3 linked regions of the Diceros bicornis minor genome follow. The protein of the gene in region 2 interacts with the protein of the main gene of each other region in a pairwise test. Links are inferred from orthologs where the notes say so. Each region holds a gene or a part of one and is shown on either strand. Other genes may lie near its edges.

Region 1 (3,747 bases), on a different chromosome or scaffold from region 2:
TGGTGACAATGTCCTCGTCCTCGCTGAAGAAGTTGCTGCTCTCGGAGGGGTTCCTGATGAAGTCAGACACGGACAGGGGCGTGCAGATGGAGTTGGGGGTGTAGCCCCAGGAGCGCTCGCCCGAGGGGCTGCTGCGGAGCGTCAGTGACTGTTTCTCAGCAGTGACGGCCGAGCTGCTGCCGTACAAGGCATACCTGCCCTTGATGGGGATGGGGCTCTTGACCTCCGGCCCCCAAGCGGGGTCCGGGGGCTTCTGGAAGAAGCAGACCCCCAGGTCGCAGGCCTCGCAGCGCTCACTGAAGCAGATCTCAGGGCACTGGTCAGAGCTGAGGGTCTCCCGGTAGCACTTCTGCAGGATGAACAGGACCAGCTTGTTGAGGAAGAGCCGCACGTTCAGAAGGCTCACCTGGCAGTCCCGCTGGGCGCCCGGCGGGCACAGCCGGCACCGCTGGCCCCAGATGCGCATCTTCACCAGCCCCAGCCGGCTGTCCTCATCCCACCACATATGGAAGAGGATGTGCACGTGGGCCGAGGACCAGCCCCACTGGCAGCGGCCACACTGGAGCCTGCAGAGGAGAGAGAGGCAGTGAGCGGAGGGGAGGGGGCCGCCCTCCTGCTCCCCAGGAGGGCGAGGAGCGAGGCCCAGTGGAGTTCCATAACCCCGAGCCCCCATCTGCAAAGGGACAGATGCTGGCGCACACTGTGTCTGCAACCCATAATCTGAAGAGCTGAAAAGCAAGCACCTTTTCATCAGTTTGGCACAAAACCCACTCGGTGGCAGAGCCTGGCCTGACGCACGTGAGGGGTCACTCTGTGTTCGCTGCTGCAGCCGCTGCTTTTCTGTTCTTTTGTGACTCGGGGCATAATCGCCCTGAGGAAACGTCACGAAGAGGCAAAGGCAGGCCTGTGGATACCAGTCGGGGGGAGTAGCAGGTGGGGTGCTGCGGAGAGGACGTGGGGGCCCTGGAAAGAGGAGCCCTGCCCAAGGGAGAGAAGGTGACGGGGAGATAAATTCGGGGGCTCCCTGCCGCACGAGACTGGGTGATGGGGAGGTCTCGGGGGACAGAGAAGCAGTGAGGGCTGGAGAGTCCCCCTGCTGGGGTGCCGTCACGCTGACTTTGCACGTGGGAGCGAGAGCCGCACGCCTCCCCGCACTGAAGAGGAGCCACGTGCCGGTCCCTGGAGGATGACGGTGTGCGTGTCCCAGGCCCCGCAGGTGAGCGCCCTCTCTCCAAGGCTTGTGATCACTGTGGCACCTGCACACGTGTGTGGGGACCCGCATGCCTGGAGGTTTCATGGAGCGTTTCCCCGGGAAGCTGATCAGCGTCGGGGGAACTTTCCATGACAGTGGGATTGTTCTGTCTGCGCCCAGCCGGGAGCCACAAGTGGCAAGGAGCACCTGGACACAGGGAGTGCCCTGAGGAAGGGAACTTCCAGCTGTATTTACATTTAATCCACAAGCACATGGCAGGCCGCGTATGGCCAGCGGCTGCTGTGTTGGAGGACGTGGGTCTGTAGTACGTGGCCATCCACTGGCTGGCGTTTCTATCGGTGAAAACTGAAAACCAACTGAACAATCTTTCTGGTCCTCATCTCGACCCTGTGGAGTCCTTCAGTTTGGCCGTGGGAACAGTAAGGTGTTTGAAGGTGCTTCTCTGATGCACCGAGGACTGTCACTTCCTATCACCTGAGAAGGCCAGCCTTCCCCCGCACACCCGGCCCCCGGGGTTTCGGACGCTGGGAGCTGTGGCATCCGTGTCAAAGGGCAGCTGCCCACGGGGGCCCCACAGTGACCTGTCTTTGAGGTCCCCTTCCCCAGTCAGGTCCCGGGGACTGGGGACGCCTGGCTGGGTGGCTCCTGCAGGTCAGGCCTGTCCCCGTTGCAATGACGCCAGCTGTCGTCATGATGATGAAGAGTGAGGCTCACGTAGTGACCCGTGGCCACCGGAGCCCCCGAGCTGGGCCCCCACTCGCCCACAGCCCAGGCCGGGGACTGCTACCCCTCCTCTCGGGGCCTGCTCCCTGCATGTGTCTCTCAGCTTCCCGGTCCCTCAGGCCCCTGTGCAGCGCAGGGCAGGCAGTGACCGCGGGCGCCTGCCCATCCCCTGCTCCCATCAGCGCTGCCATGGAAACCAGAAGATGTGGCGGTGGCGGCCGCGTCACCCCCCAACTGCGGCAGGGCCCAGGCTGAGCTCGGTGGCCGGCACCGCAGGCAGGGTCTCAGCTCACCGGGCTGAAAGGGACTGAACAGGCGCTGTCCCTCCAACACCCCCACTTCCTGGGAGGGAGAAGGAGCACCCGCCAACCCACCTGTTGGGGCCAAGCCCAGGCCAGACACTCGCCCGCATCCCACCCCCCCAGGTGCTGGGCCACACCTAGCCTGGCCTCAGGACACGGGGCCAACCGAGGGCCAATGCTTAAGCAGCCTTCAGCCCCCTCCCCTCCTGGGACCCCAAGGAGGACCCCCACAGCCGCACCTCGAGAGCCCCCTCAGCCGGTACTGGAAACCGCTGCTGTCCAGGTGCCCCGAGGCCAGGTTCTCCTCAGGGAGCAGCTCCCAGGTGTCCTGGGGTTTCCTCTTGGTCATCAGTTGGGCTAAGGTGCTGGCCCACACGTCCACCCCGTCCATGCTGGCGCCAGGCTCTGCAGTGCGGTCTGAGGGCTGCACCAGCTCCCGGCTCCAAGGAAGCTCTTGCAACCAGCTCCACTGGCCAATCGCTGCCTTGACAACCATCCAGTCTCCATGACAACCAGGCTTGTCTCGGAGAAATGAGAAGCTGGCCTTTTTTCTTATCCTTCTGAATATTTTTTATTACGCAAGCAATATGTTTTCATTTTAGGAAAAATTAGAAACAAACAGATAAATAAAAAGGAAAAAAATACAATAGAATAAAATCGCCCATAATCATCGCAGTGGTGCTGACATCCACGCGTTTTTCTATGCACGTGTATGTGTAAATGTTCATATTCATTTTTCACAAACCGGAAACCCTCGGAACAACTTGTCCTAGAGCTGCGTTTCTTGCTCCACGGCGTGTCGTGGGCAGTGCGCTATCCTCACCACTTCGAACATCCGGGATCGTCCAGTCTACGGCTGTGCCGTAACCTGCTGGCCCTGCCTCTGTCCTTGAACTGCACGGTGCTAATTCTTTGCCGTTACAAACACGGCCGTGAGGAACTTTACTGAACATGTATCACTGTGAATTTTCCCACGGTTTCCATTTTTTTCCAAACTTTTTATTGGCTAGAAGTGTACAACATTTATGTAAAAATGCCTAAAACATAATGCACAGCTTCTCAAATTATCATGAAGTCTTAGTTCAGCACCTGAAGGAATCCAGCCCCCCAAAGCCCTCCACATGCCCCTCCCTGCGCTCAGCACGCCCTTCCCGCGGAGGCACCACCCGCCCACTGGGGCCCCTTCCAGCCCCACCACCCGAGGTGTGTCCCCACGCACGGTCGTTTCCTTTTATTGCTTGGAGCTTCCTGTAAAAGGAACCCTCTGTTACGCATTCTGTGTCTGTGCGGCTGGCTTCTCTCACCTTCTCGCCTTCTTGTTTGTGAAGCCACTTGTAGCAGCAGTTTGTCGGGGGCGAGAGGAAAAGGTGGACTGAGGAGAGAGCCAGCCAACGTTCCACGGCAGAGGGGGAAGGGCTGCCAGCCCAGGAGGGGAAGACGCCGGGTGAGAGCACGCGGATGAGAGACAAACGGAGAGCGCCTTTGGACGACCACCGCTGAGGACGCGGC
Region 2 (3,747 bases):
TCACCTTTTCCTCATTTGTCTCTAAGTTGAAGGCCTTGTTGGAGGGGACAGCACAGGAACAGCCTTGACAGTCTGTAATTAGTGTACAAATATTTTAATAGCATATAAATAAGTATATTCCTTTTATTTTGAAAAAAATGATCAGACACTGCCTTTTGTGTGTTTGCTGCCTGTGGCACCCTTTTTTAAAGACTGTTACATATTAAAATAGTGTACATATATATAAATATTACCTCTTTTGCTGTACAGTTGTGATAGACCAGACTGAAGATTTTATTTTTTGTGTGCTTTTTATAAAAAAAAATTAATACACTAAAGAAAATCTTGCTGATGTGATTGTAATGTACCTATGTAACTTATTTACTTTTGAATGTTCTTCTGTATCTTTAAACCTTTTATTAAATAAGGTTTTAAAAATTCAGAGTTGAATGCTGTGTTCTTTGGGGAGATTTTCACCATCTGGGATTGATGTAGGTAGGCCTTGTTTTGCTTGCAGGGGATTACTCGACGTTTTTGAATTATAAGGATTCTGTTTTATTAGCCCATTGCCAATGATGCCAGGACAGAGGAAATAACACAGTAGCATCTGCCTGGCTGCAAAGATTACTGAATAGATACAGATCTTTTTATAAAATTTTAGACAAGAAAGTCTCAACTCAGTATCACACAAAAACATGTAAATGGCACACTTGCAACGTTTTCATTTCATTGGGATGAAATATGGAGGGTGCAGAGTGCGATCAGGTGGCACAGGGAAGCTGCGGTATTTTCACATGCCGCATTGACTGGCTGAATGAGTGACATGAGTAGACAAGTCTGCCTTGACGGATGCATTATCAACAATATCATCTTAAATCCACTCCAGAATTATATTATCTTTTAAACATGGTGCTTTGTAAAAAAAACTGGAAAATGAAAAACGAAATGCACCATCACAGAAACCAGTGCCCACAGCCGCTCGCTGGCACCATGGCAACCGCTCGACCCCTCCCCCCCACCCCCACCCCGCGGGCCGCCGCCAAGCGCAGAGCTCCAGTCGTCTGAGCCACCGTTGCCATGGCTACGCTCCGGCAGGCTCCGCCCCGGGGGCGGGGCGGGGCGGAAGCCGCTCAGGGGGCCGGCCCCGCCCTCCACTGCGGCAGTCCCGCCTCGGCTGGCCCCGGGTCTGACGAGTCCGTAGCCGAGCCGCGCCAGCCCGCGCGCACCGCCGCCCCTGTCCGCCTTCGCTTCCGCCACCTCTAGCCTTGCTTCTACGTCCTTCTCGCGCCTCCGCTGTGTCCTCGGTCCTCCGCGTCCTCGCCGCCCACAGGGGTTCCTGCACCCACGAAGAAGCCGCTCGCGGGCTGGCTCCGCGCCACCGCTGCACATCAGGACAGTCTCTCCCTCCGGAGGCGGCACAGTCCTCGCCTGCAAAGCCGCCGCTCCTCGCCCGCCTGAAAGCCCGGCTCCGACCGCGAACGCCTCATCGACTCCGGGAGCAGCAGCGAGTGCCCGGCGCCCCGGCTGCACAGAGGAGGCGGCCACGCCCCGCAACCACACCCCGGCGGCCTCTCCAGCCCCGCGCCTCCTGCCTTCGCCACCCACCCTCGCTCCGCGCCTTCTGCGCTGCGACACGACATCCTGCCTGCGGCCGGAGGACCCCGGCCGCGGACCCCGGCCAGAGACGCAAGATGGCGGCGGCTGAGTGACTGACTGACCGAGCATCCCCACGGCTTCGCTCCGAGAACGCGCCGACGCACTGGCTTTGGGGGGGCAGCGAGAGGACGAGAGCGGGACTCTGATGTCGTTTGTTGTGATTGCGTGAATCTTGCTTCCCGCGGGCATATTGGGGGAGAGTGTCTGCTGTTGTCCTAAGTCCTTGAGCAAGGGAGCCATAGTCGAATCCGTATTCCTAGCGTTAGGGTCCTTGATAGTTGGGAAAATGGCGGTGACACTGTTGGAAGACTGGTGCAGGGGAATGGATGTGAACTCCCAGAGAGCCCTGCTGGTCTGGGGGATCCCAGTGAACTGTGATGAGGCTGAAATCGAAGAGACCCTCCAGGCTGCGATGCCCCAGGTGCCCTATCGAGTGCTTGGGAGAATGTTCTGGAGGGAAGAGAATGCGAAAGCAGCCTTGTTAGAGCTCACTGGCGCTGTCGATTACGCCGCGATCCCCAGGGAGATGCCGGGTAAAGGAGGGGTCTGGAAAGTGGTCTTTAAGCCCCCGACTTCCGATGCTGAATTTTTAGAAAGGCTGCATCTCTTCCTAGCAAGAGAGGGGTGGACCGTGCAAGATGTTGCCCGTGTCCTTGGGTTTCAGAACCCCGCTCAGGCCCCAGGCCCAGATATGCCAGCGGAGATGCTGAATTATATTTTGGATAATGTTATTCAGCCTCTTGTTGAGTCCATATGGTACAAGAAGCTGACGCTGTTCTCAGGGAGGGACATCCCGGGGCCTGGGGAGGAAACCTTTGATCCTTGGCTGGAGCACACTAATGAGGTTATAGAGGAGTGGCAGGTGTCTGATGGCGAAAAGAGGCGGCGGTTGATGGAGAGTCTTAGAGGCCCCGCCGCTGATGTCATCCGCATCCTCAAGACTAACAATCCTGCGATAACCACCACCGAGTGCTTGAAGGCGCTTGAGCAGGTGTTTGGGAGCGTCGAGAGCTCTAGGGATGCGCAGGTCAGATTTCTGAACACTTACCAGAACCCGGGAGAAAAGTTATCTGCTTATGTCATTCGTCTGGAGCCTCTGCTGCAGAAGGTGGTGGAGAAGGGGGCCATAGATAAAGATAACGTGAACCAGGCCCGTCTGGAGCAGGTCATTGCCGGGGCCAACCACAGTGGGGCCATCCGAAGGCAGCTGTGGCTGACCGGGGCTGCGGAAGGGCCGGCCCCTAACCTCTTTCAGTTGCTGGTGCAGATCCGCGAGGAGGAGGCCAAGGAGGAGGAGGAGGAGGCTGAGGCCGCCCTCCTGCAGTTAGGCCTGGAGGGGCACTTCTGACTCCCAGGAAACCGGGTTTCAGTGCAGACCTGGATCACAGCTGCTTTCCTTGTCTCTGGGCTGTCTTACAGGTGTGTCTCTTAGTAGTAAAGACTCAGCCGTGTTCTGTTTTCTGGGGGGGAAGTCAGGTCTGCGTATTTATGTAACATTAGTAAAATTGTGCAAGCGAACACCCTGAGCTGCTACAAGTGAGTCATGCTAGCTATAATTCCAGGTAAAGGCTTGGACACAAGTGCTCAGTGCAAGCAGTCCTAGTAGCATCATCATCAGTTGTGAAAAACATGTGAACTTGTGACAGTTCCCATCGAGGTAATTAAATGTGAAATTGCATGTTCAGATGTTTAGCGTAGGGCCTGGCTAACACAAGAAGTGTTAAGTAAAAATGTGAACTGTTGTTACTAATATCGTGAATAGTTTTCGTGTTCACTGTAAATTGTTCCTGATTTATATTAATGGAAAGAAATGTGAATTAATTAGATATTATTCAACTTTATAGTGCAGATTTCTTATTTTTCATCTTTAAACATCTGAATCAGTTTGATTGAAAAGATTTCTGAGACTATAAAATGGGGTGTTAGAAAAATACTGCAATTATAGAGCTGTGTAAATCAGAATTTTTCACTGTTCAAGATACAGATATAAATTGCATGAACCAGTTACGGTATCCATTCCATTTCAAACCTTTGTCATTGAACAGTTCTCCTTGTTCATACTGATTCTAAGCATTCTAAATTTGAAGTTATCAAATACATGTATATGAATAA
Region 3 (3,747 bases), on a different chromosome or scaffold from region 2:
GATTTACATTAACATTTTAAGAAAACTTTAACTCAGGTTCACATTTACCTCCCTTCATTTTTGTTAAGTTTAAAACAATTTTAGTGGCTTACTATAATTTAAAGGTATATCTAACAAAATTTTACCATATACAAATTTGCACCATTTCTCACAACTAAAACATATTTTCTAATAACTAGTTCTTGTAATAATAAGGTAATAGTATTAAATATATCTGAATGTTAATTATGAAGTAATTATCAAACAAAGTGCTTGCACTCTTTCTGCCCTGCCCTGTTTTTCAACAGCATATGGAAATTACTGAAAAGAGATTTATGGTCATAAACCCTCACCCCATAACCACTCCCTCCCCCCATACATGTATACAGCAATTGCTCTGGCTCTTGGCAACAATGGGAGGGGATGGGAAGAGAAGGGAGGAAGACTTTGCCAGAGGGGAAAATCTAGAAAAATTTAGGTCCTTTCCCAAATTCACCTTCCTCCTCCCATTTGCCTTCAAGCAAAAGTAATTCTGTTAGAGTTTGCACCTTCTTCACCATGTTGATAGGAAAAAAAAAAAAAAGTGAACCTTTCTGAACCACTGCTACTCTCCCTCGGTTACTCCAGCCATCTCCAGGAAGTCCCTTCTATATAGACTCTCTTTTTCTTCCTTGCAACTGATAAGAGAGGAGGATAAAGAAGAGGGGGCTGTAAAATGTGTGTGAGCATTTGACTTCTACTATCTCCTCCTATTTTCTTACTTCTCTCTTTACCCCCTTTCTTTATCAAGTGCAGCGGTGGCTGCTACCGTCTGCCAAGCATGCCTGTCTTCTCTCTCGGATTGGCTAAAGCACTGACAGCTCGGATAGCGATTGTAGGAACTGAAGCTCCACCCCCCTCATGATGGCACTGGACCATTCATAAACTAAATAACTCCAGGAAACAGCAAGGCAGAGAAAGAGAGAGAGAGAAAGTGGAAGAGGGGGGAGAAAGAGAAAGAGAGAAAGGGAGGGAGTAAAGGAGGGAGACGGAGGGAGAGACGGGAAGGGAGGGGGGAGAGAGAAAGAGAAAGGGAGAGAGATTAGGAGGAGAGAGAGAAAGAGAGAGACGTCGGAGGGGAGGTGGGAGAGACGACTCAGAAAGTCGAATCTGCACAAGCAACCTAAAGGGGGAGGAGAGGAAAAACCCTTGAATCGTTACAACTAAACCCCAGATGCAACGCAAGCAACGACTTCGTCACACTAAAACAGATTTTGTGAGGGCTAAAATTATAAATTACGAAGCAGAAATGAATATCAAACAACTTCCAGCGGTTTGCACCTAGAGAAAGACAAGAAGAACCCACTGCAAACAAACAAACCCAGTCCAAACAACGCCTCCAGTAGGAAAAGAGGAAAACTGCTACACCACGACCCCCTAAGCAGAAACCAGACCAACACGCTGAGAGTGCGGGGCATCTGCAAACCTCCGAGTGTGCGGTGAACTGAGTTGCACTTCGCTGCTCTCTGGACATTAATTACATCCTTCACCTTCCATTTGGGGGAGGGTGAGGAGAAAGGCACTCACCTACGCTTAGTGAAGAAGTCCTACCAGCGTGGGAGAGAAGTTTTAAGAATGAAACATCGAATGTTTCACTTTTATTTTTAAATTTACTTTGGCACTTAAAAGACCTAATTTCCAGATTTCTGGGCAATCTCGGCTGCAGACATCTAAGCGTAACCTGAATTTTTCTCTCACCCTTTTTTTCTCCTTCCCCTTCATCTCTCCCGCACATCTTTATTTTACATATCAAGAGAAAGCAAAAAAAAGTCTCAGCAGATATTTTTCTTTTTCAAAGATCACCTTTTCTCTTATTTTCTGGAGAACAAAAAACGGTTTCGAAAGCGGGGAAAGAAAGAGCAAGCCGGCTGGCTGTAGCATCAGCCGGTCAGCCCAGGTGGAAAACAAGAGTGAAAGTGGGGCTTAGGGGGAGCGCACCGCCTCGTCCGCCAGCCGCAGGGCCACCATCAGCGCGTGAGCCTTGGATCCCTCAACGTACTGCGAGACGCCGGTGTATAGCCCGGACCTTTGCCCCAACATGATCGCCGCCCAGGCCAAGCTGGTCTACCAGCTCAATAAATACTACACTGAGCGCTGCCAAGCGCGCAAGGCGGCCATCGCCAAGACCATCCGAGAGGTCTGTAAGGTGGTCTCGGACGTGCTAAAGGAAGTGGAGGTGCAGGAGCCTCGCTTCATCAGCTCCTTGAGCGAGATCGACGCCCGCTACGAGGGGCTGGAGGTCATCTCGCCCACAGAATTCGAGGTGGTGCTCTACCTAAACCAGATGGGCGTCTTCAACTTCGTGGACGACGGCTCGCTGCCCGGCTGCGCGGTGCTCAAACTGAGCGATGGGCGGAAGCGGAGCATGTCTCTCTGGGTCGAGTTCATCACAGCGTCCGGCTACCTCTCCGCGCGCAAGATCCGCTCACGTTTCCAGACGCTGGTGGCTCAGGCGGTGGACAAGTGCAGCTATCGGGATGTGGTCAAGATGATCGCAGATACCAGCGAGGTCAAGTTGCGCATCAGGGAGCGCTACGTGGTGCAAATCACTCCGGCGTTCAAGTGCACGGGTATCTGGCCTCGCAGTGCGGCACAGTGGCCTATGCCCCACATCCCCTGGCCTGGCCCCAATCGGGTGGCGGAGGTCAAGGCCGAAGGGTTCAACTTGCTCTCGAAGGAGTGCTACTCGCTGACCGGCAAGCAGAGCTCTGCGGAGAGCGACGCCTGGGTGCTACAGTTCGGGGAGGCTGAGAACCGCCTGCTAATGGGCGGCTGCCGAAACAAGTGTCTCTCGGTGCTGAAGACGCTGCGGGACCGCCACCTGGAGCTGCCAGGCCAGCCGCTCAATAACTACCACATGAAGACGCTGCTACTGTACGAATGCGAGAAACACCCGCGGGAAACGGACTGGGACGAGGCGTGCCTCGGCGATCGGCTCAACGGCATCCTGCTGCAGCTCATCTCCTGCCTGCAGTGCCGCCGCTGCCCTCACTACTTTCTGCCCAACCTCGACCTTTTTCAGGGCAAGCCCCATTCGGCCCTGGAGAGCGCTGCCAAGCAGACCTGGAGGTTGGCCAGGGAAATTCTCACCAATCCCAAAAGCCTGGACAAACTATAGGGTGCTGGGGACTGCTTGAAAAGCGACACAAACGGGAATGCTCTCAAATACACAACACAACACAACAACTCAGCGACAGAGTGGAAACTCCGGACACAAACTTTTATGTAAGCCACCTGAAACAGGAACCAGGCAGAAGACCTTCGTTAATTAACAAGCAAACAAAAAGAGAGCAAACCAACCACCAACCAGATTCTTGCACAAAAGTGATCGTTTTCTTCCAAACAATGTGAAATTAAAAGGTCACACAAAAGAAGCAATCGGGCTTTGCCACCACAAAATGAAACCCAAGGTACATTTTCAAATCAATGTATAGTAGTTTCTCCCTTTTTCCTTCTCTCCCTCTGTCCTTTCTCCCTCTCCTTCTCTCCTCCTCTCTTTCATTTCATTTTGGGTTGCCTGAATGTTGTCACCAAGTGAAAAAAAGTATTTAATTATATGTAAAATTTCTCTTTTAAAAAGTTTTGCTGATGTTAAGTGTATCTCAGTGCCAATGTCAGACTGTGTCCCTCCCTCCCTCGCACCTCTACCCTCACCCTAAGCAGTCTTGTTGAAAACAGTAATAAAAATATTACTTTACATTGTAATTGCCTGTTTGTGGATTGTTCTTA

The links.
Region 1: the proteins of PNMA1 (region 2) and RTP5 interact in binary tests that used the Homo sapiens proteins (3 or more experiments, as listed by UniProt). The two-hybrid records come from large-scale screens. The link is inferred for Diceros bicornis minor from reciprocal best matches to the Homo sapiens genes PNMA1 and RTP5.
Region 3: the proteins of PNMA1 (region 2) and MAB21L2 interact in binary tests that used the Homo sapiens proteins (3 or more experiments, as listed by UniProt). The two-hybrid records come from large-scale screens. The link is inferred for Diceros bicornis minor from reciprocal best matches to the Homo sapiens genes PNMA1 and MAB21L2.

What each region holds. Positions count from the first base shown.
Region 1 is NC_080776.1:28,597,065-28,600,811, reverse strand, and holds the start of RTP5 (receptor-transporting protein 5), read right to left. Parts: upstream 2,630-3,747; coding exon 2,478-2,629; intron 567-2,477; coding exon 1-566.
Region 2 is NC_080763.1:21,878,706-21,882,452, reverse strand, and holds the start of PNMA1 (paraneoplastic antigen Ma1), read left to right. Parts: upstream 1-1,244; 5' UTR 1,245-1,921; coding exon 1,922-2,983; 3' UTR 2,984-3,747.
Region 3 is NC_080750.1:39,056,515-39,060,261, forward strand, and holds MAB21L2 (protein mab-21-like 2), read left to right. Parts: upstream 1-1,499; 5' UTR 1,500-2,056; coding exon 2,057-3,136; 3' UTR 3,137-3,710; downstream 3,711-3,747. UniProt on the Homo sapiens protein: Required for several aspects of embryonic development including normal development of the eye.